Arabidopsis thaliana: one gene and its partners. The protein of the gene in region 3 binds, or shares a complex with, the protein of the main gene of each other region. Each region holds a gene or a part of one and is shown on either strand. Other genes may lie near its edges.

Evidence for each region.
Region 1: MYB3R-4 (region 3) and E2F1 share a complex: the UniProt entries of both Arabidopsis thaliana proteins name them as parts of the DREAM-like complex.
Region 2: MYB3R-4 (region 3) and ATE2F2 share a complex: the UniProt entries of both Arabidopsis thaliana proteins name them as parts of the DREAM-like complex.
Region 4: MYB3R-4 (region 3) and RBR1 share a complex: the UniProt entries of both Arabidopsis thaliana proteins name them as parts of the DREAM-like complex.

What each region holds. Positions count from the first base shown.
Region 1 is NC_003076.8:7,358,583-7,365,012, forward strand, and holds E2F1 (E2F transcription factor 1), read left to right. Parts: upstream 1-1,952; 5' UTR 1,953-2,166; coding exon 2,167-2,349; intron 2,350-2,819; coding exon 2,820-2,982; intron 2,983-3,113; coding exon 3,114-3,170; intron 3,171-3,251; coding exon 3,252-3,337; intron 3,338-3,416; coding exon 3,417-3,505; intron 3,506-3,599; coding exon 3,600-3,654; intron 3,655-4,112; coding exon 4,113-4,165; intron 4,166-4,239; coding exon 4,240-4,290; intron 4,291-4,367; coding exon 4,368-4,416; intron 4,417-4,503; coding exon 4,504-4,569; intron 4,570-4,649; coding exon 4,650-4,723; intron 4,724-4,808; coding exon 4,809-5,079; intron 5,080-5,209; coding exon 5,210-5,279; intron 5,280-5,395; coding exon 5,396-5,538; 3' UTR 5,539-5,923; downstream 5,924-6,430. Other genes in the region: AT5G22210 (aspartyl/glutamyl-tRNA (Asn/Gln) amidotransferase subunit B), read left to right, coding at 967-1,209; OFP10 (Ovate family protein), read left to right, coding at 6,107-6,430. UniProt on the Arabidopsis thaliana protein: Transcription activator that binds DNA cooperatively with DP proteins through the E2 recognition site, 5'-TTTC[CG]CGC-3' found in the promoter region of a number of genes whose products are involved in cell cycle regulation or in DNA replication.
Region 2 is NC_003070.9:17,632,777-17,638,337, reverse strand, and holds ATE2F2 (winged-helix DNA-binding transcription factor family protein), read right to left. Parts: upstream 3,642-5,561; 5' UTR 3,402-3,641; coding exon 3,168-3,401; intron 2,907-3,167; coding exon 2,720-2,906; intron 2,609-2,719; coding exon 2,549-2,608; intron 2,465-2,548; coding exon 2,379-2,464; intron 2,180-2,378; coding exon 2,091-2,179; intron 2,003-2,090; coding exon 1,948-2,002; intron 1,780-1,947; coding exon 1,727-1,779; intron 1,635-1,726; coding exon 1,584-1,634; intron 1,505-1,583; coding exon 1,456-1,504; intron 1,376-1,455; coding exon 1,310-1,375; intron 1,224-1,309; coding exon 1,153-1,223; intron 1,063-1,152; coding exon 948-1,062; intron 856-947; coding exon 781-855; 3' UTR 529-780; downstream 1-528. UniProt on the Arabidopsis thaliana protein: Involved in transcriptional repression. May act by repressing E2F-regulated genes in mature differentiated cells, but is not an antagonist of E2FA.
Region 3 is NC_003076.8:3,677,867-3,685,399, forward strand, and holds MYB3R-4 (myb domain protein 3r-4), read left to right. Parts: upstream 1-1,881; 5' UTR 1,882-2,209; intron 2,210-2,453; exon of another isoform or gene 2,454-2,526; 5' UTR 2,527-2,585; coding exon 2,586-2,638; intron 2,639-2,764; coding exon 2,765-2,819; intron 2,820-3,058; coding exon 3,059-3,116; intron 3,117-3,207; coding exon 3,208-3,302; intron 3,303-3,416; coding exon 3,417-3,520; intron 3,521-3,627; coding exon 3,628-3,756; intron 3,757-3,864; coding exon 3,865-5,602; coding exon of another isoform or gene 5,603-5,767; intron 5,768-5,814; coding exon 5,815-6,074; intron 6,075-6,167; coding exon 6,168-6,282; intron 6,283-6,412; coding exon 6,413-6,598; intron 6,599-6,725; coding exon 6,726-6,818; 3' UTR 6,819-7,018; downstream 7,019-7,533. Other genes in the region: AT5G11500 (coiled-coil protein), read left to right, coding at 23-150, 290-393, 505-592, 779-840, 928-1,080; ASP3 (aspartate aminotransferase 3), read right to left, coding at 7,391-7,475. UniProt on the Arabidopsis thaliana protein: Transcription factor that binds 5'-AACGG-3' motifs in gene promoters. Involved in the regulation of cytokinesis, probably via the activation of several G2/M phase-specific genes transcription (e.g. KNOLLE). Required for the maintenance of diploidy.
Region 4 is NC_003074.8:3,913,332-3,921,106, reverse strand, and holds RBR1 (retinoblastoma-related 1), read left to right. Parts: upstream 1-1,747; 5' UTR 1,748-2,219; intron 2,220-2,659; 5' UTR 2,660-2,673; coding exon 2,674-2,757; intron 2,758-2,872; coding exon 2,873-2,977; intron 2,978-3,063; coding exon 3,064-3,206; intron 3,207-3,285; coding exon 3,286-3,382; intron 3,383-3,468; coding exon 3,469-3,515; intron 3,516-3,782; coding exon 3,783-3,975; intron 3,976-4,106; coding exon 4,107-4,173; intron 4,174-4,259; coding exon 4,260-4,439; intron 4,440-4,539; coding exon 4,540-5,595; intron 5,596-5,690; coding exon 5,691-5,853; intron 5,854-5,951; coding exon 5,952-6,024; intron 6,025-6,145; coding exon 6,146-6,322; intron 6,323-6,415; coding exon 6,416-6,535; intron 6,536-6,617; coding exon 6,618-6,750; intron 6,751-6,842; coding exon 6,843-6,955; intron 6,956-7,063; coding exon 7,064-7,179; intron 7,180-7,261; coding exon 7,262-7,436; 3' UTR 7,437-7,758; downstream 7,759-7,775. Other genes in the region: AT3G12290 (Amino acid dehydrogenase family protein), read right to left, coding at 1-11, 120-332, 440-597, 771-954, 1,403-1,516. UniProt on the Arabidopsis thaliana protein: Key regulator of entry into cell division. Acts as a transcription repressor of E2F target genes, whose activity is required for progress from the G1 to the S phase of the cell cycle.

The DNA of each region.
Region 1 (6,430 bases), 3.7 Mb from region 3:
AATATTCGTCAACAAACTTAGTCACTTTGCAACTAAACCCACACTTGTAGTCTCTGTAGAGTGTAGTTCACCTTTTTGAGCATTCGTCGCTATGTTTCCACATTTAAACCATAACAGTTGGCCCAAAGAAAAAGTGAAAGCTAATGGGCTTTTTATGTTACTAGGCTTAACCCAGAAAATGACATACAGCTAGCGATACGACATTGGTTTAGCTCTGCAAAACGCTCTATAGTGTCTGTCTGGTCAGAAATTCTTCGACTCACTTTCGGTTTCTGATGTTTTGTCTCTCTGATTGAAAAAGGTAAAATCTCTTGAATCTATATCATATCGCTAAGCTTAATTTGCTGGCTAGGATTTTACCTGATTTTTTGGGTATATAGTGATGATAGAAATTTGAAGTAATTTCTCCAGTTTTCTCATTGATTTAGGGGTTTTAAATGTAGACTTAGTATTCATGAATGAGTTGATTTCTAATTGATATTATCATGTTAATCATCTTGAAGAATTGACCTTGAATTGGTGGTTCATAGATGTCTCATCTTGTACAATTTATTTGCTCGAGGATCTTATGATTCTTGGACATAGTGGAACAAAGATAGCTTTAAAAATGGACGCTGAGATGATTACTTGGTTGATGTATAATAGTTTGGTCTCTTAATTAAGGTTTTGATGGTCCTTAAGGTTAGTGTATAGCTTCTATAGAACTTTTTAGTCTCTCCTTTTAGATGGTTATGACGAATTGACGATTGTGTTATTCACGAGATAATTTGCATCCGAACATGTAAATGTTACACACTTGCAATATTGGTGTGCATGGAGAAATTATAGATTGTGTTAAGTGTTAATCCCAAAATGCATCTGCTAAAAGTGTTGCATAATCATCTTGTTGACTAGATAACTTGTTTTTGTGGTTTGGACAATGTGACGATACTATATATGATGTATGTAAAGATCGGGTTTTGCAAGATGGGAAACAAAGCTACAACGGTGAAAGAAGAACGCGAAGAGATCCATTTGAAGATTGTACCTCCATTGGACAAAGTTTTTCTGCGTTGGCTCGCAAGAGATCTCCAGAGAGTTCATGGATTCAAACCGAAGAACAACACTCGTGCGATCACTCCTCCAGATAGCTACATCGAGTTTATGCGGTTAAATGGATCGCTTGATGTAGATTTAGATGACCCTGATCTTGCCCATTTGTTCAAGTAAAAAGGGGTTCTTCTATTGTTGTCTCTGTTTGTTATGTATGAAGCTTTCAAAGTCTTAGTATCTTTTTTGATTACTCATACAGTCATACTTAAAGCTTGTGTTTTGGAAGCTCAGTCTATAAATATATATTATCTTCTCTAAACAGTATAGCATTCATAAGAGATCCAAGTGTCTGCATTCAGACGACACATGTTTCTATTGTCTTGGTGCTATGATTTGGAATCCCTATGTTTCGAGGTTCCATTTAAAAAAGTTGTTAAATGATGAGACACTCATGAGCATAATTTTCATCAATATAGTTTTGCCTCACCTATGAATTAAAAACAAAAAAACGTATAAGTTCGACAGATTTTGACGATAATTGCTCACACTTAACGCGTGTAACGGATGCTGCAACAGTTTGATGAAATTATTATGCTCCACTTCTTAACATGAATAAATCCAAAATTCATTTTTTTCCCCTCAATCTCAAGGAAATAAAACTGTATCCAAATTAGTTACATAGCTTTATTAACTTCGTTGACTTTAAAAAAAAAAAAACTTACTTAAAATTTTATAATTTTGTATTATATATAAAAATAGGATTATTATTATTTAGTAGAGAGATATTGGTAAAAAGATTTGTGTACAAAGAGAGAGATAAAGAGCGCTAATTCCCTCCACATCAGTATTCAGAACCAAACGCAACTCATTCCCTCGTTTTCTCTCTTCCTCTTCCACCGTCTCTTTTTTTTTTTTTTTTTATAATCCTTCCTCTTCTTCATCTTCTTCTCCTCTCCCGCTTTTTTTCGATTCGCCGATCTCTTCACATTCTCTTCCCGGAATCTCCGTAATTCCCGCCGTAGATCTGCTTCTTAATCGTTATTGGGATCTCTGCTTACCGGAGATCCGAGTTTCCGTGACAATTTTCGCCGTTTCTTTTTTTTTTTGGGGGATTTTTTATCGAGATTCGTTCTTATGTCTGAAGAAGTACCTCAACAATTCCCATCTTCTAAGCGGCAGCTTCATCCTTCTCTTTCTTCTATGAAGCCTCCTCTAGTTGCTCCTGGTGAGTATCACCGGTTTGATGCGGCGGAGACTCGCGGTGGTGGAGCTGTTGCTGATCAGGTTGTCTCTGACGCGATTGTGATCAAATCTACTGTAAGTCTTTTTTCTTCTCAATTTTGCTTGTGAATTTTGCTTTATAATTCTCGTGTTTTCGATTGTGTGTGAGGTTTGGTTTTATTGATTATGATTTTGATGATGTCGTTGCTTTAGATTTTGATGAGAATTGTGTCGGGATCTGCTTCTGTTGGTGTTAATTGCGTTTGGTCTCTTTTGATTAACCTTGTTTGTAGTATTGGAATTAGCATTGCAAGTACTTATTGAGTAGTTTAGTTGCTGGACTTAGGGTTTGTGGTGTTACTGTTATTGCTATTTAGAGCAGATTCATGCACTTTTGTGTTTATGTTTAGTTAAATTAGTTTCTGAATTTTGCTATGTTGGAATTGGTAAAAGTTGTGTCTATGCTTTTAGATTTCAGCATAGTGACAGTATGATGCTGATAGGATTTGATTCTGTTCAATTCGTTGATGTATTTAACTGTTCAATTTTGGTGACTTTATTGGCAGCTGAAGCGTAAGACAGATTTGGTAAACCAAATAGTTGAGGTCAATGAATTGAATACCGGTGTTCTTCAAACACCTGTATCAGGGAAAGGGGGGAAAGCCAAGAAAACTTCTAGGTCTGCGAAGTCTAATAAGTCTGGAACGCTAGCTTCTGGCTCTAATGCAGGTGAGTTTGGTTCTAAATGCTCTGTGTTAGTATGCCAATGAGAAATATTTCTTATGTGCTCATCTGAGCTAAATCTTCTTTAAAGAGTGGAGATATTGCAATGTAGTGAGAAGGATCTTTTGTGTTGGCAGGTTCTCCTGGAAATAACTTTGCACAGGCCGGTACTTGTCGATATGATAGTTCGTTAGGTAATAACTTATTTCATTAACTAATGTTTAAAAAATGTACTTTTGGATAATAAGTTTTTTTAATGATTTAATCTGCTTCAGGTCTTTTGACAAAGAAATTTATCAATTTGATAAAACAAGCAGAGGATGGTATTCTTGATCTAAACAAAGCAGCTGATACTTTAGAGGTGACATATTTGAACTCTAGACTCCCATATTGATGTATTACTTTCTGTCAAACTTAGCTGTATGTTCCTGTTGATGCAGGTACAAAAGAGAAGGATATATGATATAACCAATGTGTTAGAAGGAATAGGTTTGATAGAGAAGACGCTTAAGAACAGGATTCAGTGGAAGTAAGCATGTCTTAGAACTGTCAAATCTTGGATTCCTTCCATTTGATGACTCATGTGTGAGCGACAGTACTCTGAATTTTCTTGTCTGTCTTAGGGGTCTCGATGTCTCAAAACCAGGAGAAACAATCGAAAGCATAGCTAACCTACAGGTACAGAACATGCCTATATATTCTTTACCTTTTCATTGCACATTTCACTGCGAACTCTGTTATGCAATGCTCAGTATTATCACCAGTTTTATTATTGTTTTCACGTTAAGGGTATATCTTAGCTTGCATTGTCTTCTTGAACATCGTATGAATCTGCATTAGTATGATTCTTGTTATGCCTGTTTTCTGAGAGCTAAATGTGTTAGGAGGTAACTAGGATACTAGTAAATTTACCATACACACAAACATCGATGACATGTAACCACAAGCTCTGTTTTGTATACCCGTACTGGCACCTTTGAATGATGAGTTTCTGTTTTATGTTTGAACCTGTTGAATAAGTGGAAATTGGTACTGCAGTTTTTCTTCGATCTCAGTCACTTGCATTGATTTCTTGTTTTGGGTTTTTGGTTCGAAAAACTATTCATGTTTTATAATTCCTGTTACCAATCTTACAGGATGAAGTACAAAACCTCGCAGCTGAGGAGGCAAGATTAGATGACCAAATCAGGTATTTTCGCAGATAATTTTCCTTCCCTTTTCTGCTGTTTTGTATCATCTTTTTGAGAGTCGACCTGGTTGCAGAGAATCACAAGAAAGATTAACAAGCTTGAGTGAGGATGAAAACAACAAAAGGTAAGCGTCCCCTGCTATTTCTTCTGCCGAAAGGTACAATAAAACATATCTGTTTGTTCTGACGCTCCACTTTTTAGGTTACTGTTCGTCACTGAAAACGACATTAAGAACCTACCATGCTTCCAGGTCTGGTCTCCTTCTAGTAATTACGTGTTTCTCTTTGCCTTGCATTCTTCTCACTGGGGAAACATGTTTTTGTGGTGCCTATTTTAGAATAAGACGCTGATAGCTGTAAAGGCACCGCATGGAACAACTCTTGAGGTTCCAGATCCTGATGAGGTAAGCTTAAGAGCGCACAAAACCAAATGAGCGATGCACTGTCTGTAACGATTCTCACCTCTTATCCTGCCATTAATCAGGCTGGTGGTTATCAGAGGAGGTACAGAATCATTCTGAGAAGCACAATGGGACCAATAGACGTGTACCTAGTCAGGTAACACTGTCCTCAAACGTTATGCTTGCCCTGGATAAATCTGTAACATGGAAGTGAGACTGACATTTATATTGTGCTTTTTTAGTCAATTCGAAGAGAGCTTTGAGGACATTCCTCAGGCTGATGAACCTTCAAATGTTCCTGATGAACCCTCTAATGTCCCTGATGTACCTTCAAATCTTCCATCAACATCTGGTCTCCCTGAGAACCATGATGTATCTATGCCGATGAAAGAGGAAAGCACCGAAAGAAACATGGAAACACAGGAAGTTGATGATACGCAAAGAGTTTACTCTGACATCGAATCTCATGACTTTGTCGATGGTATCATGAAGATTGTTCCTCCAGATTTGGATGTAAGTCCCAACTGCTTCCTCAGCTTAAAATTTTCACCAATGTACATAATCACAGTCTGGAAAAGTAACCATATCTAAAAAATCATGCTTGACTTAATTCATATTTACCTGTATGTTACATTATATACAGATGGGTGTAGATTACTGGTTTCGATCAGAGGTAGGCGAAGTCAGCATCACAGACATGTGGCCAGATGAATGTATCCTTGATTTCTATCACTTTCTGTGATTTAATCTAATCTCTCTTTGAGCTTTTGAGTTTTTTCCTCCCCAAATATGATATCTGTTTAGAGCTCCTTGACTCTTTCATCATTAGCTGGACCAGACTGGAACCAGATGATTACATTTGATCAAGACCACGCTGGACCGAGCGACAACAAAATCTTGGAGCAGCCACAAACTCCATCGAGCCCAACACCAGAAGAATCCACTGCTACGAGATCACCTACAGGTAGCTGAAGTTACCATACCACATTACAAGCACCACCATATATCTGTACATAGAATCTGATTTCGGTGAAACCAGAGTTAATGTTGTACTTGTACAGTAGCTGCATTGCATTATCATAGAATAGAGATTGCAAAATAAAAGTAGAGAAACCAACCCCTTCGTTGTATTCTTCATTTTTTTTCTTTGTTAGCTTCTCAGGCTTAATATAGAATTAGCCTTAGCCCATTGATTTCTTAATATTGGTCTTGTTCATGTGAAACTGCAAAACCTTTTAGAGTTGTAGACGGGTGCTTAGTAGTTTTACATGCTCCATTTCCGGTTTACCAAAAAGGTAACCAGATCGAAACTAAAACATATTTCCGTTCATCAAAAATCTTGACGAAAACATATTGGTTCGGTTGTGGTTTGAGAGATTTCTTTTTGGTTCAAATCGGTTTCTATGTCCAATCCTTTGATATCACTCGAGATAGTTTCTTACAAATGATATCATATATAACTTTGAATTCACCTCAAGATGGTATTATTTTCCTTAAAAAAGAAATCCATCAAAATTGTGCATCTCCAAAGCAATGAGCAATGCTGAATCTCCAAGCTAAGTTAAATGAAAAAAAGGTTCCTCTTTTAACAAACTTTCCCACACCAACATCCTCACTCAATAATCTCAACTTGTTTTCTCTTCCTCTAGTAAAAAAAAAAATGTCTTTCAAGAAGATGATGAAGTATATACTCAAAACCATATTCAAACCCATTTTTATGGCATGCGGTTGCGGCTCTACCGTTCCACCTTCCTCTCACAGCCACTACACCCCGGGACCACCGGTTTCTCCCACGGTTTTACGCAGCCCATGTCCTAAGATCGATGAGAGCGTCGCGATGGCTAAAGAATCAATCAATCCGTTC
Region 2 (5,561 bases), on a different chromosome or scaffold from region 3:
ATATAGCAGAATTATATCCAACAATGTATATTAGGAAAATTATCCTCTGAAAGGCATTCCTTTTTTTTTAGGGTACGTTTTACTGTTTTAGGCAGTTACTTCTAGGCAAGAGTTATGCCATTTAACGAAAAGTATTGCTTGGGATCCAAACAAGCACCATATTTAGGGATCCACCAAGATATCAATGTCCAATGTGGTCATGATTAACTCATGAATGACATCAAACATGATATGATCTAACTCATGAATGACATCAAGCTTTGTAAAGTTGATACTTCTTTTCCACAAGATATTTTTCTCTACTAGCGTTCAAGACTTCGAGCTTTGAAACTAAATGTAACAAGATGAGAGATTAACTAGTTTTCAATTTGGAACCATTCGTTTTTTGACATGATTCTGACAGAAGTAACGTTTGATATTGTCCAAATCAGGTGGTTCGTAAATGATGCTTTGTTTCTGTTTGAACATGCAAATTGTAACCTATGGACCCAAAGTGTCAAAAAGATTAATTTCAAAGTTCATTATAAACACATGTTACAAAAACAGATGTATGCATTGACATGCAAAAGGCCATTAAGTATAATTATATATCTAATTAGAGTACAAGTTTTTTCACATAATTGCCACATCCCTTGAATGACCTTAAAATATTGCATCTTTTATTTTTATAAGGAAAAAAATCTATTAGGATTTCAGGCTCAAAAGGGGTAGTAAAATGTAACAGAAAATTCATCCTCATCCTAGTAATTGGGAATTTGAGGTTTCAAACAACTTTGTTTCTCAGCTGTTGAAGTTGCTCCATAAATCTGTGAGGCTCACCTCTGCATCTGACTCGAACCAGTAATCTGCTTTTAACTGGCAATACACAACCAAAAATTCAACTTAATCGCAACATACGAAATGCGAGACTGATCCCAAAACCCATATCAGTGGATCTAAATACTTACATCAGTATCTGAAGTTACTATTTTCAAGGAAGGAGTGTCTACTCCAACTGGAGCTTTTTGATCAGACTCATTACCCAACTTGTCGCTTGTTTCCGCACTGTCTCCTTTGTATTTGCTGCGATCATGTTTGTTCCCAGTTATTAACACTGACTGACAAATATATAGATAAGACCAGACACAGAGAGTGGAATGTGTAACTAAGTACCTTAAAAGATAGACATCAATCGGCCCCATTCTACTCCTAATCACCATCCGGTACTGTTGCGGAAAACTCATCTATCGTGAACAAAAACAGATGCTTTACTTTGTGACACATTATATTACAACTGTACAGCAAATATGAAAGCATTAAAAACGCTCACCTCATCAGGATCTGGAACTTCGATGTAACTAGCTGTAGGAGCTTTAATTGCTAGTAATGTCTGGTTCTGTATAAGGACTACCAGTTTAGTATGTTAAATAACTGAGGAAAACATAAGATGATTTTCAAGAACTAGTTGGGGAGGACCTGAAACCGTGGGAGACTCGTTATATCTTCCTCCGTCATAAACATGTACCTGTTTATTTCCATCATTGATCTTAGCAACACTCTCGTGTATATACAAAAAGATGAAACTCAAATAAACTGACGAATACCTTCTACAGTAGTCATCTTCCTCCAAGGATCTGAGAGCTTCTTGTCGTTCCCTGGAGATACATAACATGATGATCTTCAAACCATGTGGGAAAGGAACAATGGATAAGTCTCCAAACATAATATAAGAACACAAGCAACCAACCTTATAAGATCATCCAACCTGCTTTCCTCAGATTGCATACTCTCTACTTCTGACTGAAAATACGTAGATATGTAACCGGTCAGTAATGGGGAATTTGAAAATAACTGTGTGAAATAAACTATAAGACAGAAAAATAATGAAATCATGAATTTGACAGATTATTTGCATAGCAGTAAGTTCTACGACAAAGAAAACACGTGAAAATGCTTGTCACAATGAACCTTAAGCCTAGAAATTTGATCTCCCAGGTCCTTTTGTCCAAGATTGTCAGCACCCCTGCATCAATAGCGCATACACAAAGTCAGACGAACTCAAGCTATATACGCTGCAATGTATCCAAGAAAGAAAAAATTTGTGTACTTACTTCCAGCGGATATGATTCTTTGTAGTTTTCTCTATCAATCCAATTCCTTCAAGGACATTTGTAATATCATATATCCTTCTTTTTTGTACCTGTTAAGAGGGATCGCAGGAACACGTAAGCACATAAGAGGAGATCCTAACAAGCTGATGAAGATAACTAGGGAGATATCAAACAGTTAAGGCAAGGGTTATAAAGGTGAGTGATCTTTTTAGTCCACGTTCTTAATTAGATCTTCTACGAGTTGAGACATACATTTTTAACTTAAATATTAAGATACATTTAGCATACCTCCAAAACAACTGCACAATAGTTAAGGTCAAGTGTTCCATCCTCAGCTTCCTGGATCAACTTCACGAATTTTTTTGTCAACAACCCTATCAAACAAAAGAGACACCGATACAATTACAGTTGTTATCTCCATACAAACATGAACCTTAGTAAACAGAACTATTAGTTACCTAAAGAACTGTCATAACGGCAGTTAATACTAGCTCCATTTAAGCCACCATTTTGCACTTCTGCACAAAAAAACTCATTCACAACAATGCTGAATACAAACAGATTCTTATTTTCAATACATATCACATTCTAAGAGCTAGCCAAAGAGATTGATCAGAAAAAGCAGATACCGCCATTCGCCATTCGTTTCCCAGCCTTTAACAGTTTAGTACCACCCTTTGACTTGTTGTATACACGTTTAACATTTTGAGGAGACGACTCTTGTTTCACTATTACTTTAGCTATATCTATGCTTTCTCCTCCAGACATGTTGGCAATAGATCCAAGCTGAATTCGATGATTCTTTCTACTCTTCTGCTGCAAATTAAGAAAAGATCAACTCAATAGCATTACAATCACCAAAACGAATCTAAATTCGCAAATTGAGATTAGAGAATTGAAAGCTAGAGATCCAATTTTGGATTAAGTTTCCCTTAATGAAACCAAACTTCATTCAATTTTTGTTTTCGCGAAATTTGGGAATCAGAATTAAACCTAGCTATCGCAAAATCAAGTTCGGAAATGGAATCAAAATCAAAGAAGGAATCTACGAGGACTTGAGTAAACGAAGAGACTCACAACTTTCTGAGTGATTTGAGAGTAAGAATCGTCCCAGTGAGGTGAAATTAGAGGAGACAGTTGTGAATTCGGAAGCGATTGAGAGACTGAGAAAGGTCGATTCGTTGAAGAAGGAGTTAGAGAAGAGTAACGAGGATCAGAGGAAGAGATAGATTGAAGTAATTCGAAGCGAAAAGGAGATCGGTGATGGTAAGAGAGAGTCGGATCTTCGCCTGAGTTTGATGTCGCGGCCATGTAACGGCGGTGTATCTCCGGTGGTAGAGAAGATGGGATTTAGAGTGATTTTTTGAAGCGATTTTGGAGAATCGTGATTTAGGTTTTTGTGGGGGAAGATGAAGAAGGAGAAGAGGGAAGATGGAGAAAAAGATGGAGAGAGAAGAGAGGAAACAGCGGGAAGAAGAGGAAGGGTAAAAGTGTCTTTTTGTTGTATTAAAAAGATTAATATAAGAAAGAAATATTGGAATTATGTTAAAAGAGCGGTGGGCGAAAGAAGTTGGAGAGAGTTTCGAATTCTGCCTAAGCCCCGCCTAACTTCTTCCGCTTATTATTTTACTCTTTTGACTATTTGTTGGGCTTGGTCTTGGGCTTGGTCTTGGGCTTGAATTGGGCTTAATAATGTTACGACGTTTACATATCTTCTAGAGCTTCATACTTTGTAGCTTTATGTTAATGATCGACATTCATGGTTCACGAATCTATAAATACGGAGTCTCGGCATTGCTAGATTGAGTTTACAGGGGAGTCCTAATCTCCGAGGTCCATCTGCACCAATAAACTCTATGAACGGCCCAAATTTGGTCCAGTTATCATACCAAAAAGTAGTTTAGAGTTCATGGTCTTTGCCAAAAGGTAGAAATTAGAATGAATTTCTAAACCCATGATTCATTTTGTTTCTCTGGTATCATTTTTCTAGCTTTTTTTCTTTAATATTTTCATAAAAACAATTGAAGAATGAAGAGTGCTTCTGCATAGTTGAGTACTTGAGTAAGTGATATCTAATTAATATCAAATTATGTGAAAATTATACCATCTTTTATGAAGTCGTACTATATATGTATATATGTTTTTTTGTCTATCTTAATATATGTTTATGGGTCTGATTGGTAACCAAAAGTTGTTAACTCTACTACAGGTATTAAGCTGTACAATAAACTAAGAGTAAAACTTTGTAACGCTTAGTACCGTTTTGTAAAGTGGTTACCAATCAAAACCTATATTAGGTTATAAGGAAGCGATGGGTGCATTGACGACAAACACACAAACTTGGTGTATAGCGCTACACAAGGGACTGTTTTTTTTTTCATTGTATTATTACCAATTGCATCATGTAACAAAAATAGGAATTCAAAATACTGAATTAATTAATCATGATTTTGAATAAACAAAACATATTAAAGGAATGTAAATATAATTGAGTTATTTCAAAGAGTTTTCGTATCGCATAAGTTTGATACCTTAACTTGTTTTCGTAAAACTGGACAAATATGACGAGAAAAAATCCCTTCATGATATCATGATGGCTTAAATCAACGTAATTTCCATTAGTTTAGATCTGAGAGACTGAAACATTGGTGTACCAAACAATGTAAAACACACATTTTCGTCCCTATGGCATGTGACAACTTTTTAGCCAAAAAAAAGAAAGAGTATTTTATTTAGAAAAATATTTGTGAAGACATATTATCCACATTTTTAAAATTTATTGTAGCCATGGATCAGAAAAATTATATTATATTTTAGTTTAACTGTGACAAACAAACAAAACAAGATTATCCATATAAATGTAAGTTCGTCTAGATATTCATACAGAAAAAGTTTGTCTAGTTGCATTTTTGTTGTCCTAAATTTCAAGTGCACTAACGCGAAATCTACTTCACTTGTCATGGTGCAGTAAGAAAAAAACAGTAAATAAAAAATGAAAAAAATATGGAAACACTAAAAAAGAATTTACAATAGTCGATAGCATTTTTATTTGTTTACTTTGGTTCCTTTTTTCTACTTTTATACAAAAGAAAAGGTGAGGAGGAATTTATAGCCTCTAAAAGTGATCTTACAAGTTATCTAACGTTGTTTTTTTGGTAAGAAGTTATTTTTATTATAACTCCTACCATTTAGGTAATTAACTTCCTTAGGCTTAAGAGTTTTCTACAACTATTAGATTTTAACCCGTAGTACACCATGAAGATTTTTTTTTTTAAAATTAGTATATATAAAAGTTTGAAAATTATATCTATCTATAAAATATTTTTATTTTATATTTTATAATTCTTATTAAGTAACGTTCTTCCAAACCCGTCTCGCCAAACCTGTCCTATAAAAAAAAAAGACGTACACCGCTAATTTAAATAAATAATTAAAATAAATATTTTACAGGATTGCAATTGTATTTTAGTT
Region 3 (7,533 bases):
AAGTAATTTTCATTTGATGCAGGTTTCACGTGGATAAAATGTCGTCAGCTCATGTTTACTTGAGGCTTCATAGAGGCCAAAGTTTTGATGACATTAGTGAAGGTGTGCTGGAGGACTGTGCTCAGCTTGTGAAAGCTAACTCCATTCAAGGTAATCTTTTTTTCTACCTGTCGTGAACTTAACATTTGCATAACCATTAGTCTTAGAGTACCAGTTTGTTTTTTAGAAGGAGGGCACATATAGGTTTTTTCTGTTTTCTTACCGACTGGTGTCTGGGATTATGTGCCAGGCAACAAGGTGAACAACGTTGATGTTGTGTACACTCCGTGGTCCAACTTGAAGAAAACTGCCTCCATGGATGTTGGTCAAGTTGGTTTCCACAATTCAAAGATGGTAAGCTTCTTCATCTCTAAAGAAATTTTGGTTGCGCATACATAAACTGCTCAAAGTATGGTTGTAAAGCTTCGATGATATTGATACCTAACTCATATTTGTTTCGTTCAGGTCCGGACTATCAGAGTGGAGAAGCGAGTCAATGAAATAGTTAACAGACTGAACAAAACAAAAGTTGAAAGAACCCCTGATCTGAGAGGTTAGTATTTGTTTTGTGAGCTCTTCCTCAGATTCTAATAGGTAGAAGATTGATCATGCATACATCTTTCTCGTTTAACAATTTTCCTGCTGATGAAGTGTCAGTTAAGTGTCTGTAGTTTTTCCAGTCAGTATAACTTCAAGATCTATGAAAATAATTTGATTGTTCATAACTGTGTTGATGAAGCCGAGAGAGAAGCAGTGAATGCCGCAGAAAGGGCAGAGAGGAAACAACATCTGAGGGAGAAGGTCAGTGTCTGTTTTTGGTCGTTATCATCTTAAACGTCTTTGATTAGGGTTTTGACTGAAATCCTCGGTTGTTTCTGGATTTTGCAGAAGAAACGTGAAGAGATAGATAGGCTTGAGAAGGAGAGGCAATCAGAGATGAGGAGTTACAAGGGACTAATGGTAACTGATAAAATGACATCCAACAAAGACATTGCTTCAAGCAACAAATCGCTTCAAGAACTTGAAGACGATTTCATGTAAAAGCTCTGAAGAAATGAGAAACAAAACAAACCAAGTCGGTAACATTCTGCCAGAGATGATCTGGTACCGTCCTTCAAAGAAGGCTTATGATGTTCTACTCGCCTTAACTATGATGTTGATGGTTGTCCGGTTCTATGTTTTCTTTAAAAAAATCTTGAATACCTAAAACCCTAATCTGGTTCTTGGACTCCTTGGTCCATTGAAATGTTTCAAAAGGATTGAATCTGATCTGTGGGAAAAAGGAGAGCATTATATTCTATATATGACACAGGTGAACCAGTGATCTGGTGCAATTATGGTTTACTCTGCATTGCTGTGTAACCTGAAATTTGTTTACTACCCCATAAAGCTTCATGTGTTACTCTGCATTGGGTTGGGTTTTGGAATCACTTTATTCTTGACCATAGTTGCTATTGTTAAAACTTGCGGGTTGAATTTAAACAGTCCTGTCTCGTGATTGCAGTGGGTCTATCGGGTTATTACTGTAAGTTAGCGGGGCTAGTCACTAGTGCTTAGACTACTTTTTTTTAGCGACCATAGTTGGCTTGTTGATGATATATGATTTGAAATAATTATGGTGGCCCCTAAAGTGATTTGAATCAATAATCCAACTGTTGGTGTACTTGGAAATCTAAGGGTATTAAATAAATCTGAGTGAAAATTTGAAAAAAAGGGAAAAAGAAGGGAAAATAAAGGATAAGAAACTAAATAATTATGTCCGTTAAATACTAAAAAAAGATAGGAGACACGTGACCGAAAATATTTAAAATGGACGGCTGAGATTAAGACTGAGAGCCGCTCAAAAAAAAAAAAAAAAAAAAACCAAACGTTATTGACTTGTATAGGGTTTGTTGAAGAAGGAGACTTTAACATTTTTGAATTTCCGCCAGTCTTGTTTTGAAATAGCTCTGCCGACCGTTTAGATTTCTCTCTTTTATCTATCTTCTCTGGGAAAATTTTCAATTAATCTCTCTTTATTAACTCAGATCGTGAACATTTATCTCCGATTGGAGGAGATTTCTAGTTTTTGATTGGATTTACTTTGGGCATTTTGGTCTCTCCAGTTTCTGGGTATCGTCGTTGTCTCTCTCCGATTTATGAACCACTTCCATTTCTGAAGCTCGCATAGGTTTGTTTTATGACTCCATGGTTCTATATTTGAATCTAGGTTGGTTTGGGTATGATTTGATTTTGAATTTATTGTCTGCTTGATCTAAATAGTTTGCTCTTTTTAAAAATGACTGCGAACAAAAGTTCACAATTAGTAGTCATTGTAATTATTTTCAAGCTTCGAGTATGTTTTGTCCTGATTAGCGACCGACTTTTTTTGGAGCTGAATCCTTAGTGTTTTTTTTCTTTACAATTTATCTTAGGAAGATTGTGAGATGGTACAAAGGAGGGAATAGTAGTTTTGAAATATAATGTTTTGGAGTTACAACATTGCAGAGAAGAAAGGCAACGTATGGGAATTGGGGTGACTATTTTTGCATTTTCATTGACTAGTTATGGAAGCTGAGTCTTCAACCCCTCAGGAACGGATCCCGAAATTGCGTCACGGGTATGCTTCTTTTTTTCTCATATCTTACTAACTAATAAATTGTTAGCTTGCCACAATATCCTACTAGATTGACATGTTTGTCACACCTAGAATTGAGTTGCATGACCAATTGTGTGGATTTTACAGGAGGACTAGTGGCCCTGCAAGACGTTCAACTCGAGGCCAATGGACAGCTGAGGAGGTGAAATTTATGTTTCCATCAGCTTCTTCTTATAAGTTTCTTTCCAATCCTATGTTCATGTAGCCAATTAATCTGGTCTCACGTTCTTGATATATGCAACAAAACTCTGCCCTGTGTTTGTTCATTTGCATGATATCATTGATCATGAGAGATACAAGAAGTAGACATTTGGATATATGCATTTTTACATTCTATGATCTGCATATTTGCTAAATCATTTTAACCAAACATATTCTCAGGATGAGATCTTGAGAAAAGCTGTCCATAGTTTCAAAGGAAAAAACTGGAAGAAGATAGGTTGACATTCTTTCCTTTCTATATTCATTTACTGAAGTGAACTGTAATCTTCCTTGTCTAAATGCATGTCACATCTTTTCTTAACTCTCAGCTGAATACTTCAAGGATCGAACTGATGTCCAGTGCCTCCACAGGTGGCAAAAGGTCCTTAATCCTGAACTTGTTAAAGGGCCCTGGACGAAGGAGGTGACATAGTTTTTTCCTCCACTATTTCTATAACATGTGCATCTTGCACTGTTTGCTTTGAATTTGCAAACATCTCTGATGACTGTTTATTGCTCTCGTTTGACATGTGTGTAGGAAGATGAAATGATCGTTCAGTTAATCGAAAAATATGGGCCGAAGAAGTGGTCCACTATTGCTCGATTTTTACCTGGCCGTATTGGAAAGCAATGTAGAGAGAGGTATGCTTATAGAGACAGCTATTTCTCTAACAACAGTGTTTTACTAGCACTATATAGTTTTTGTCCTCTTTTCAAGATTTTAACTGTGAAGGCTGTTACTGATATAGGTGGCACAATCATCTCAATCCTGCCATAAACAAAGAAGCTTGGACTCAAGAAGAAGAGCTGCTTCTGATTCGTGCTCATCAAATATATGGTAATAGATGGGCTGAGTTAACAAAGTTCTTGCCTGGAAGGTACTCATTTCTATTGTTATTTGAAAAATCATCGTACATATTTATTCAATCTTAAAGGTATTCTTCTATTTGTTCTAGCAATATAGTTTTCTGCTATGTTATCAACAGGTCGGATAATGGAATTAAAAATCACTGGCACAGTTCAGTCAAGAAGAAACTTGATTCCTACATGTCGTCTGGCCTTTTGGATCAGTACCAAGCCATGCCTCTAGCTCCTTATGAGAGAAGTTCTACATTACAATCAACTTTTATGCAAAGTAATATAGATGGAAATGGCTGCCTAAATGGACAGGCAGAGAACGAAATAGACAGCCGTCAAAATTCAAGCATGGTTGGCTGCTCACTATCTGCAAGAGACTTTCAAAATGGAACTATCAATATTGGGCATGATTTCCACCCCTGTGGAAACTCTCAAGAGAATGAGCAAACTGCGTATCATTCAGAGCAGTTTTACTATCCGGAATTGGAGGATATCTCAGTCTCCATCTCCGAAGTCTCTTATGACATGGAAGACTGTTCACAGTTTCCTGATCATAATGTCTCGACTTCTCCAAGCCAGGATTACCAATTTGATTTTCAGGAACTATCAGATATATCACTCGAGATGAGACATAATATGTCAGAAATACCAATGCCATACACCAAGGAGAGCAAGGAATCTACTCTGGGAGCTCCAAACTCCACATTAAATATTGATGTGGCTACTTACACCAACTCAGCAAACGTTTTGACACCTGAAACGGAATGTTGCAGGGTACTTTTCCCTGATCAAGAGAGTGAAGGGCACAGTGTTTCTAGATCTTTGACCCAAGAGCCAAACGAGTTTAACCAGGTAGACCGTCGAGATCCTATCTTGTATTCATCAGCTTCAGACAGACAGATATCAGAAGCTACAAAATCTCCTACGCAGAGCTCTTCTTCAAGGTTCACTGCAACGGCCGCCTCAGGAAAAGGAACTCTTCGGCCAGCTCCCTTAATCATATCACCAGACAAGTATAGCAAGAAGTCATCTGGATTGATATGTCATCCCTTTGAGGTAGAACCAAAGTGCACAACAAATGGAAATGGTAGCTTCATATGCATCGGTGATCCATCAAGCTCCACTTGTGTTGATGAAGGGACCAATAACTCCAGCGAAGAAGATCAATCATATCATGTGAATGATCCCAAAAAGTTGGTTCCAGTGAATGATTTTGCTTCTCTGGCAGAAGATAGGCCACACTCTCTACCTAAGCATGAGCCAAACATGACAAACGAGCAGCATCATGAGGATATGGGGGCATCATCAAGTCTTGGTTTCCCAAGCTTCGACTTACCTGTTTTTAACTGTGATCTTCTACAATCTAAAAATGATCCTCTACACGATTATAGCCCACTTGGCATACGCAAGCTACTGATGTCCACCATGACGTGCATGAGTCCCCTTCGACTGTGGGAATCTCCCACTGGGAAAAAGACGTTGGTTGGTGCACAGTCAATCCTTAGGAAACGGACCCGTGATCTGCTGACACCGTTATCTGAGAAAAGAAGTGATAAAAAGCTTGAAATTGATATAGCAGCCAGTCTGGCAAAAGACTTTTCACGTTTAGATGTGATGTTTGATGAGACTGAGAATCGGCAATCTAATTTTGGAAATAGCACTGGTGTCATCCATGGAGATAGAGAAAACCACTTTCACATTTTGAATGGAGACGGTGAAGAATGGAGTGGCAAGCCTTCTTCACTCTTTAGTCACAGAATGCCAGAAGAAACCATGCATATCAGAAAATCGCTTGAGAAAGTAGACCAAATTTGCATGGAGGCAAATGTCAGGGAAAAGGATGATTCTGAACAAGATGTTGAGAATGTAAGTCTCTTTCTTTCCTTTAACCATTTGAATATAAGTTGTGCTACTGGTTTACACAAACTCAGTTCCTTTAGATTTTGTCGCCAATCATGTCATTTTGTCACCTGTGTTAAAATCTTCATTGTTTTGGTGAGTTTTAATCGTCATTGTAGCAATAGATTGTAGATGTAACTGACATACATAACCTTTATGATGGATCAAATCTTATGCAGGTTGAATTTTTCTCTGGTATTCTTTCTGAGCACAATACCGGTAAGCCAGTCCTGTCTACTCCTGGTCAGTCAGTTACTAAAGCAGAGAAGGCGCAAGTTTCAACCCCAAGAAATCAGTTGCAAAGAACTCTCATGGCTACGTCTAACAAAGAACATCATTCCCCTTCAAGTGTTTGTTTAGTGATTAATTCGCCTTCTCGAGCGAGAAACAAGGAGGGTCATCTTGTTGACAATGGGACAAGCAATGAGAATTTTAGCATGTACATCTATACCACCCTTACTAAAATATTCCTTGTCCTCTTTTTGCTTTCATTTCTTGCTACAATGATTTTGTTTCTTCTTTCCATTTACAGATTCTGTGGAACTCCATTCAGGAGAGGTCTTGAATCTCCCTCAGCCTGGAAATCTCCATTTTACATAAACTCTCTCTTGCCCAGCCCAAGGTTTGACACAGATTTAACTATCGAGGTACTTGATAATGCCTTAAGATCCTTGTATCCTATATTCAACATTTTTACTTCATGGGTGCATAATTTCAAATTCTTTTAATATATAGACATGTTATCCTTAGGCAACTTAATTGTATTTATTTTTTCAGGACATGGGCTACATTTTCAGTCCTGGGGAGAGAAGCTACGAGAGCATAGGAGTGATGACACAGATAAATGAACATACAAGTGCATTTGCAGCTTTTGCAGATGCAATGGAGGTTTCAATTTCACCTACTAATGATGATGCGAGGCAGAAGAAGGAATTGGATAAAGAGAATAATGATCCTCTACTGGTATATATACATACTCTACAAATCATTCACTCTCTAAGTAGACGGTTTTGAGATTATAGTTCTAGAAACAAAGAAAAATGTTTTGTGCTCCATTGATTTTGTGTTTTGAACATTTCTCAATCTATAGGCGGAGCGTCGAGTGCTGGACTTCAACGATTGCGAGTCTCCAATCAAAGCAACAGAAGAAGTCTCATCCTACCTCTTGAAGGGATGTAGGTAAAATGCCAAAAGCTTATACATAATATGCAAAATGCACCATACATGAACAATGTATAAATATGTATGTGCATCTTTTATGAATTATCCCTGGCTGGATCAATTTTTTTTCTCTGTTTCTTTTTAATGGATCAATTGGAGTGAATTTATGTAGATTCTGTGTTCAATATATATATACATATTTCATTTGCCTGCAATGAGTACACGTCCGTATACTCTGTGAAACGAACCAACTGCAGTAACTTATTCTTGTTCTCTGCTAGTTTAATCTAAATAGTTTCTGCAATTCCGTCATATGCTAAAACCTCAGATTCTACATGAACTGTATTCAAGTTCACCAGCTTAAATCTCAAATGTTTTCTCTTAAACATTTGACTCTATAAGAAACCAAAAAAGAGTTGTAAGCAATAGTAGAAGAGAGAGCACAAAAGCTTTCTTGCGTACTTTATTGATACTGGGATGAAACAATAATAATAGTAACGACATTTATCTTGTCACTGCCGGAAATGCTATAATAGAAAGAAAAGAACAAAATCTTTATTATGAAGCTTTGGTGTCATGGTGGTGTTCAGTTTCTCAGACGGCTTTGGTGACAACAGCATGGATAGCGTCTGCAAGGTGAGGTACAGTCTTCGAACTCAGACCAGCCATGCTTATCCTCCTTTGGTTCATTTATATCAATCATCACACACTAAGTTAGACAAAATTCAAGAAAATTA
Region 4 (7,775 bases), on a different chromosome or scaffold from region 3:
TTGCCCTTAATCTGAAATGTCAAAACGATAGTATATTTGAATTGTAAACTATTCACATTGATCTACAAGAGGTAGACTAAATTATCTTCTAAATGACAATGAAAATGTATGAAAATCACCATGTGGGCTTGTCCGCATGCAGCAATAACAATGTCAGCTTCCCGTATGATAGCCTCAGGATCCTTGGTGTGAGAATGTACAGTTGTGACAGTAGCATCAGCCTTGAGCAAAAGAAGTGAAACGGGCAAACCAACAATGTTACTCCGACCTACAACAACTGCTCGTTGCCCCTTTATCTTTACGCCGCTTCTAGCTAGGAGTTCCAAACATCCCTGCACACACAGAAAATCACCTCATAGTTGATACAGAAGAAAAACAGAACACTGAGATTTCTCGCTTGAAAGAGACTGAAGTCTATATGCAAAAAAAGGAGAAGTACCTTTGGGGTGCAAGGAAGGAAGAGGGGTTCTCTGCCTTTCATGGCTAGCTTACCAATATTCAAAGGATGGAAGCCATCGACATCTTTATCAATGCTGATTGCACCCAATATATGCTCCTCATTAATATGTTTCGGCAATGGGAGTTGAACTAATATGCCTGCAAATCAAACACCAAAGCTTATATAAGCACAGGAGAGCAAGGAATGTTTGCTTTATACCAAAACGAAAGACTTGCATAGACATTAAAGTTTCTATCTATCCTTAATAGTTTAGACTAATGATAACCGAGAAGACATACAAAATCAAGTATTATTTACCGCCACAACTAACCATGGACATCCGGATTTGAATTTAGTTCATGAACTTTGCTAATAAGATCAGCTTCAGAAACTTCCTCTGGTAGGCCCACGTCAAATGACTTAATCCCAACCTCAGCGCACGCTTTCCTCTTCGTATTCACATAGGTCTGTGAATCCTTTCGGCTCCCAACAATAACTACAGCTAGTCCTGGGACCTGCATGAAGGTAAAATCAGATTCGATTGAATCTCGTACATTCTTGAAACTATATAAAGGGGTCCAACTGAAGCAACTGAACAAACGCACTAAACCATTTATTACACATACTCTCGTTCCTTCTATTTTATTACAATGATATCAAACATTATAAGCTTAGCACACACTATCTGTATAAATAAGATAGTATGCCACTTGAAGTAATGCAGGCAGCTCAAAAATCCAGCGAAACAAAATAACAGTGATCTAACTAAAATGGAGCTTACATTTGACCCTGTTAAGCATTTTCAATAGAAGGTTGTGATCATAGCTGCTTAAATCTAGTCATTTTAAACCATAAAGCTAAAAGAGAGTAAATTTTCAATAGTGCTATCATCTTATAAAAGAACGGAGAATTATAAGGAGAGACATGTCAAGATTAGGACACTGATTCATAAGATGCGTTTACCTTGCCGTGTTTCTCAGATAGACCGCGAACTTCCTCGGCGATCTCTGATCTGATGGTATGAGCAATCGCCTTGCCGTCGATTATCTTCGCCGTGTGATCAGATGATGACGCCATGAGCCACTAGGAATTTGCCTCGTGTCGGAAATATCTAATTCTCTCTCTGGATCCACTCACACTCGAAGATGACGAAGAAGACTTAATCTGAATCCATCCGCGGATAGGACACTCATACTTCTGCAACCAAACGTTCTACAATGGCAAATATGTAATTTCCCGCGTGACCTAAACTAGAAACGGCATCGTATTAAGGGTGGGCCCAATCATAACTCACACGAGGCTTTGTCGCGGTCACGAAAACCCAGACGGCGTTAATGGCCCACTCCGTTTGTTTCGACCCCGCCGTGACGGCGAATCTTTCCCTCTCAGCGTTTCACGCAACAGTAAGTAAGTTTTGGCGGTAAAATTGGGTCACAGATGGGTACGTGTCGATTTAATAGTGGTTGAAAGCGCGCGAATATAATTGTATACGTATGTGTATGTATTCTCCGTGTTGTTTTTCCCGCGCGAGATATATCCTTTTTTAGGGTTTGCCGCATAATCAGACCCCATTCTAGAGAGAGAAGAGGGAAGTCAGGTGAAGATAGAGAGAGACACTGAGAGGAGGGAAAATTTGTAGGGTTTTCGGAGATCTCTGTGATTCCTCTGAATTTGTCGAATTTTTTGGAGGAGGCGTTAGAAGTCGGGCTTCTTAAAAATCAGATCTTCTGCTCAGGCTTTAATCGGCGACGTCTGGTATTGGGATCTGTGACACAAAAAGGTAAGATCTTTCTCTATTGCCTATCCTTTGATTTGAAATCTTATCCTCTAGGTGGTTTATCTGAAATTTTCTATTGATATTTCGCTATTCGATTGTAAGTTGGTGAGAGAATTCTCCAAAAACAAAAAAGAGAAAAACTTTGAATGAATATTTAAGATAACATCTGGGTAAAATTTTTCCGGAGTGGTGGGTTTTAGATTATGCCCCAATTTCTCTTCTTTTTTTCCCCCAAATTTTGTCTTTCTGCCATGTTTTGGGAAATTGGGAGTTTGTTTTCTCATGTCTGTTAGTGTGTTCTTCCGAATGGGTTGGGCATGGTTCCTATTGAATTTCAGTGTGATTAAATTAACAAATCTCTTTGCTTGAAAAGTCCCTTTTTCTTCGTCTTCAGTTAGCAGTTTAATTGGAAGTAAAATTAGCTTGATTTTGCATGTTTTCAGCTGCGTTGGAGACTATGGAAGAAGTTCAGCCTCCAGTGACCCCGCCCATTGAACCAAATGGGAAAAGAAGCGAAGCCTCTCTCTTGGACATATGCGAGGTTTACTCTTCTCTTTGCTGATCTAGTTGCATTTGTTTAGTTGAAGATACCATTTGAGTTCTCTCGGAAATTTTGAGGACTAGCTCTAATCCCTGTAGTTGATTTCTTATTGCAGAAAGTTCTGTCTCTTGATGGGAGCACTTGCGATGAAGCTTTGAAGTTGTTTACAGAAACCAAACGAATTTTGTCAGCAAGCATGTCTAACATTGGAAGTGGAACGGTGAAATACATTTTTCCTCTAACTTCTCTTTTATCAGTTAACTGTGGTTTCATTATGACTAAATCCTTTTTTCTTCTTCTTATTAGCGGGAAGAAGTAGAGAGGTTCTGGTTTGCGTTTATTCTCTATTCAGTGAAGAGGCTTAGTGTGAGAAAAGAAGCGGATGGTCTGTCAGTGTCTGGTGATAATGAGTTTAATCTATGTCAGATACTGAGGGCTCTGAAGCTAAAGTAAGTAGTGTTCAATTCTTCCTTCCTTGTCATTCTTAAATTCATTTGTAGTGACGATTTTCCTCTTTTCTGTTTATAGTATTGTGGATTTTTTTAAAGAGTTACCTCAGTTTGTGGTCAAGGCTGGATCTGTACTGGGTGAACTTTACGGCGCAGACTGGGAGAACAGACTTCAGGTTTTGACTAACATCTTTTAAATATACTTCTACTTCTATTATATCATTGTTAAATATGCTTCTATTAACTAATTTTTACTTACTAGGCAAAGGAGGTGCAGGCTAACTTTGTGCATCTTAGCCTTCTAAGCAAGTGAGTTTAGCTCCCTTCCTATTTTACATTTATCTTTGTTTTGTGTAAGAATAGTTATTGACATAGATTTCATATTTTGGACCTGCAACTTAGAAGCAAATTTTCTTCCTATGCAATAATCAGAATATGGGCTTGCAATATTCCTTCAATTTTAAATTAATTAAGATTTAGAGTTACAGATTTCTGGTTTTCATGTGATTATATTCTGTGAATTGTTTTAAGGACATGTTAAAGTATGATGTTTTTGGTACCTTTCCTTGGTAACAGATACTACAAACGTGGGTTCCGGGAATTCTTTTTGACATATGATGCAAACGCAGAAAAGAACTCAGCAAACTCTTCTACCTATTTGCTGGATAGTTATCGTTTTGGATGGCTACTCTTTTTGGCACTCCGAAACCATGCGTTTAGTCGATTTAAGGACCTCGTGACATGCTCAAATGGCGTAGTTTCTATATTGGTTAGTGACTACCTGTGGAGCTCTCCCTAATCTTTCATTCATTTTAGTCTTGCTGTACATTATTACTTGAAAGATGCTTCGTTTAATATAACGCAATTGAAGTATAGGCTAACTCCTTTTCATGTTATCAGGCTATTTTGATCATACATGTTCCTTGTCGGTTTAGAAATTTCAGCATCCAAGATTCTTCTCGCTTTGGTGAGTGTTTATCTTTTCTTCTATCCCGATAACCATGGCACCATAGAATGTTTATCATCTATTTTCATTTATGTGATGAATCTCAGTTAAGAAAGGTGACAAAGGTGTAGACTTGGTTGCATCACTTTGCAAGATATATGACGCCTCAGAAGATGAGTTGAGGATAGTAATTGACAAGGCAAATAATTTGGTAGAAACCATACTGAAGAAAAAGCCATCTCCAGCATCTGAGTGCCAAACTGACAAGCTAGATAATATTGACCCAGGTTGGTCTAAAATCATTTTCCTTCTTCAATTAAAGAATCATGTGAGTTCATTGAACAGTTGCCTGATTGTTCTTCGAATCTATATGGTGTTTTACTGCAGATGGCTTGACCTACTTTGAGGATTTACTGGAAGAGACGTCCATCTCAACTAGCTTAATTACACTTGAAAAGGATTACTATGATGGTAAAGGCGAACTTGATGAGAGGGTATTCATCAATGAAGAGGATAGCTTACTTGGATCTGGAAGCTTATCTGCAGGAGCTGTTAATATTACTGGTGTTAAGAGGAAAATTGATGCTTTGAGCTCACCTGCAAGGACATTTATAAGCCCACTTTCTCCTCATAAGTCGCCTGCTGCTAAGACAAATGGTATTAGCGGTGCTACCAAGTTGGCAGCAACACCAGTGAGCACAGCAATGACAACTGCCAAGTGGCTCAGGACTGTCATATCCCCGCTTCTGCCAAAACCTTCTCCTGGGTTGGAACATTTCCTTAAATCATGTGATAGGGATATAACAAATGACGTCACACGAAGAGCACACATAATATTGGAAGCTATTTTCCCAAATAGTTCCCTTGGTGCCCAATGTGGAGGTGGAAGTTTGCAAGCTGTTGACCTGATGGATGACATATGGGCAGAGCAGCGCAGATTAGAAGCTTGTAAGTTATACTACAGAGTTCTTGAGGCAATGTGTAAAGCAGAAGCTCAGATTTTGCATGCAAATAATCTGAACTCTTTATTGACAAATGAGAGGTTCCATAGATGCATGCTTGCTTGCTCAGCTGAATTGGTACTGGCTACCCACAAAACAATTACAATGTTGTTCCCAGCTGTTCTGGAGAGGACTGGGATCACAGCCTTTGATCTCAGCAAGGTAATTGAGAGTTTCATACGACATGAAGATTCTCTGCCTAGAGAGTTGAGACGACATCTGAATTCACTGGAGGAACGGCTTCTAGAGAGTATGGTATGGGAGAAAGGCTCTTCAATGTACAATTCTCTGATTGTTGCCAGGCCATCGCTTGCATTGGAGATAAATCAGCTCGGTTTACTAGCTGAACCAATGCCATCTCTGGATGCAATCGCAGCACTTATTAATTTCTCTGACGGAGCAAATCATGCATCATCTGTACAAAAGCATGAAACTTGTCCAGGTAGTTTTATTTGTTTCTGAATTAAAGCAGTTTTCCAACCTGTTGTTAATGGTATGATTTTCTTACCAAAAATTGTCAAATTTGCTGCCATATAGGACAAAATGGGGGGATTAGATCGCCCAAAAGATTATGTACTGATTACCGCAGCATTCTAGTTGAACGCAATTCCTTTACATCACCAGTAAAGGATCGTCTGTTGGCCTTAGGCAACGTTAAATCCAAGATGCTGCCACCTCCGTTGCAGTCTGCATTTGCCAGGTACATTTTGAGTAACTATGAGTAGAAATGGAGAGTTAGTTTACCTATCTAGTTGTCCCTGTACTTGTTAAGTAACCTCTTCGGATTTATGTCTACAGCCCAACACGGCCCAACCCAGGAGGTGGAGGAGAAACTTGTGCAGAAACTGGAATCAATATTTTCTTCACAAAGGTAGGTCTGTGAGATCTTTGGATCTACTACTAATCGTTTGGTTAGATGATGTACTACAAAACACGGTATTGATTCTTCATTTTCGGCTGGGAATTGTGTTAAATGTGGTGGCTCTTCCCAGATTAATAAATTGGCTGCTGTAAGAATCAATGGAATGGTGGAAAGACTACAACTTTCACAGCAAATAAGGGAGAGTGTGTATTGTTTCTTCCAACATGTACTTGCTCAGCGGACTTCTCTTTTATTCAGTCGACACATTGACCAGATCATTCTCTGTTGCTTCTACGGAGTGGCCAAGGTGAGTAGTGTGATTCAAAGGGTTTAACTATATGTCATCTGGTTTACAATGGCTTCTCTTACACTTACACTTTTTCCATGAATCACCTTGTAGATATCCCAAATGAGCCTGACTTTCAGGGAAATCATATACAACTACCGGAAGCAACCACAGTGTAAACCATTAGTTTTCCGCAGCGTTTATGTGGATGCGTTACAATGTCGCCGTCAAGGGGTATATATACACTCTTAACCTTATGCTGAAAAGTTTCTTTACTCGGTGGAGAAGACTAAATTTGTGACAATGACTTGAACAGAGAATAGGGCCAGATCATGTTGACATCATCACATTCTACAATGAAATATTTATTCCTGCCGTAAAGCCGCTGCTGGTGGAGCTAGGTCCTGTAAGAAACGACCGGGCTGTGGAAGCCAATAATAAGCCTGAAGGTAGTTAAGAAAGGCCAGATACTTGTTAGATGTAAGCTTTGTCTATCAATTTAGTCCCTAAGTTAAATGATCGTCTTATTTTGGATTCACAGGTCAATGTCCCGGATCGCCAAAGGTGTCTGTGTTTCCAAGTGTTCCAGACATGTCCCCTAAAAAAGTATCTGCAGTGCACAATGTTTATGTTTCTCCTCTTCGGGGATCAAAGGTAAAGAAGATCATAGTGCTTAACTCTTTATCATGATATGACTAAGTCTTGAGGAGGAGGTAGGTGACAAGATTGTTTGGTTACCTTCCATGTGTTGTGTGTTTGCAGATGGATGCTCTTATTTCACACAGTACAAAGAGTTACTATGCTTGTGTTGGAGAGAGTACACATGCTTACCAGAGCCCTTCAAAGGACCTATCTGCCATCAACAACCGCTTGAACAAGTAAGTAGAAAAATCACGTCTCTCATCAGCTTCTTCCATAAAACCAATCACTGACCCAATCCAATTTCATCTGGTGTCACAGCAGCAGCAGCAACCGCAAGAGGACGCTAAACTTTGACGCAGAAGCAGGGATGGTCAGCGATTCCATGGTAGCAAATAGCCTTAACCTCCAAAACCAAAATCAAAACCAAAATGGAAGCGATGCATCGTCCTCAGGTGGTGCCGCACCCCTTAAAACCGAGCCAACAGATTCATAGATATCTCTCTCTACTTGCTACACCAACTTCTCTTCAGTTATAGCATCTGTAAATCCTTATGTTGCAGAGTTTGCTTTTATGTTTAGCTTTCTAGTTTATAGTGATCACCTCAGGCTATGAGCGGATGGATCCCTTTATTGTTTCTTTTTTCTTTTTTTATCTTAGTTAAGTCAGTCTTAATAAGCATTAATAAATGTCTTTTTCTTGTTCACTCTTTCTAACTGTGTTCGGTGTCCCATCTACTAAATTTATTTTCCACTTTAAAAAAAAACAATTTGTGACATTTACTTAACTTGGAACATATACAGTACAGTTAAGCAATTAACTATAACCAACAAA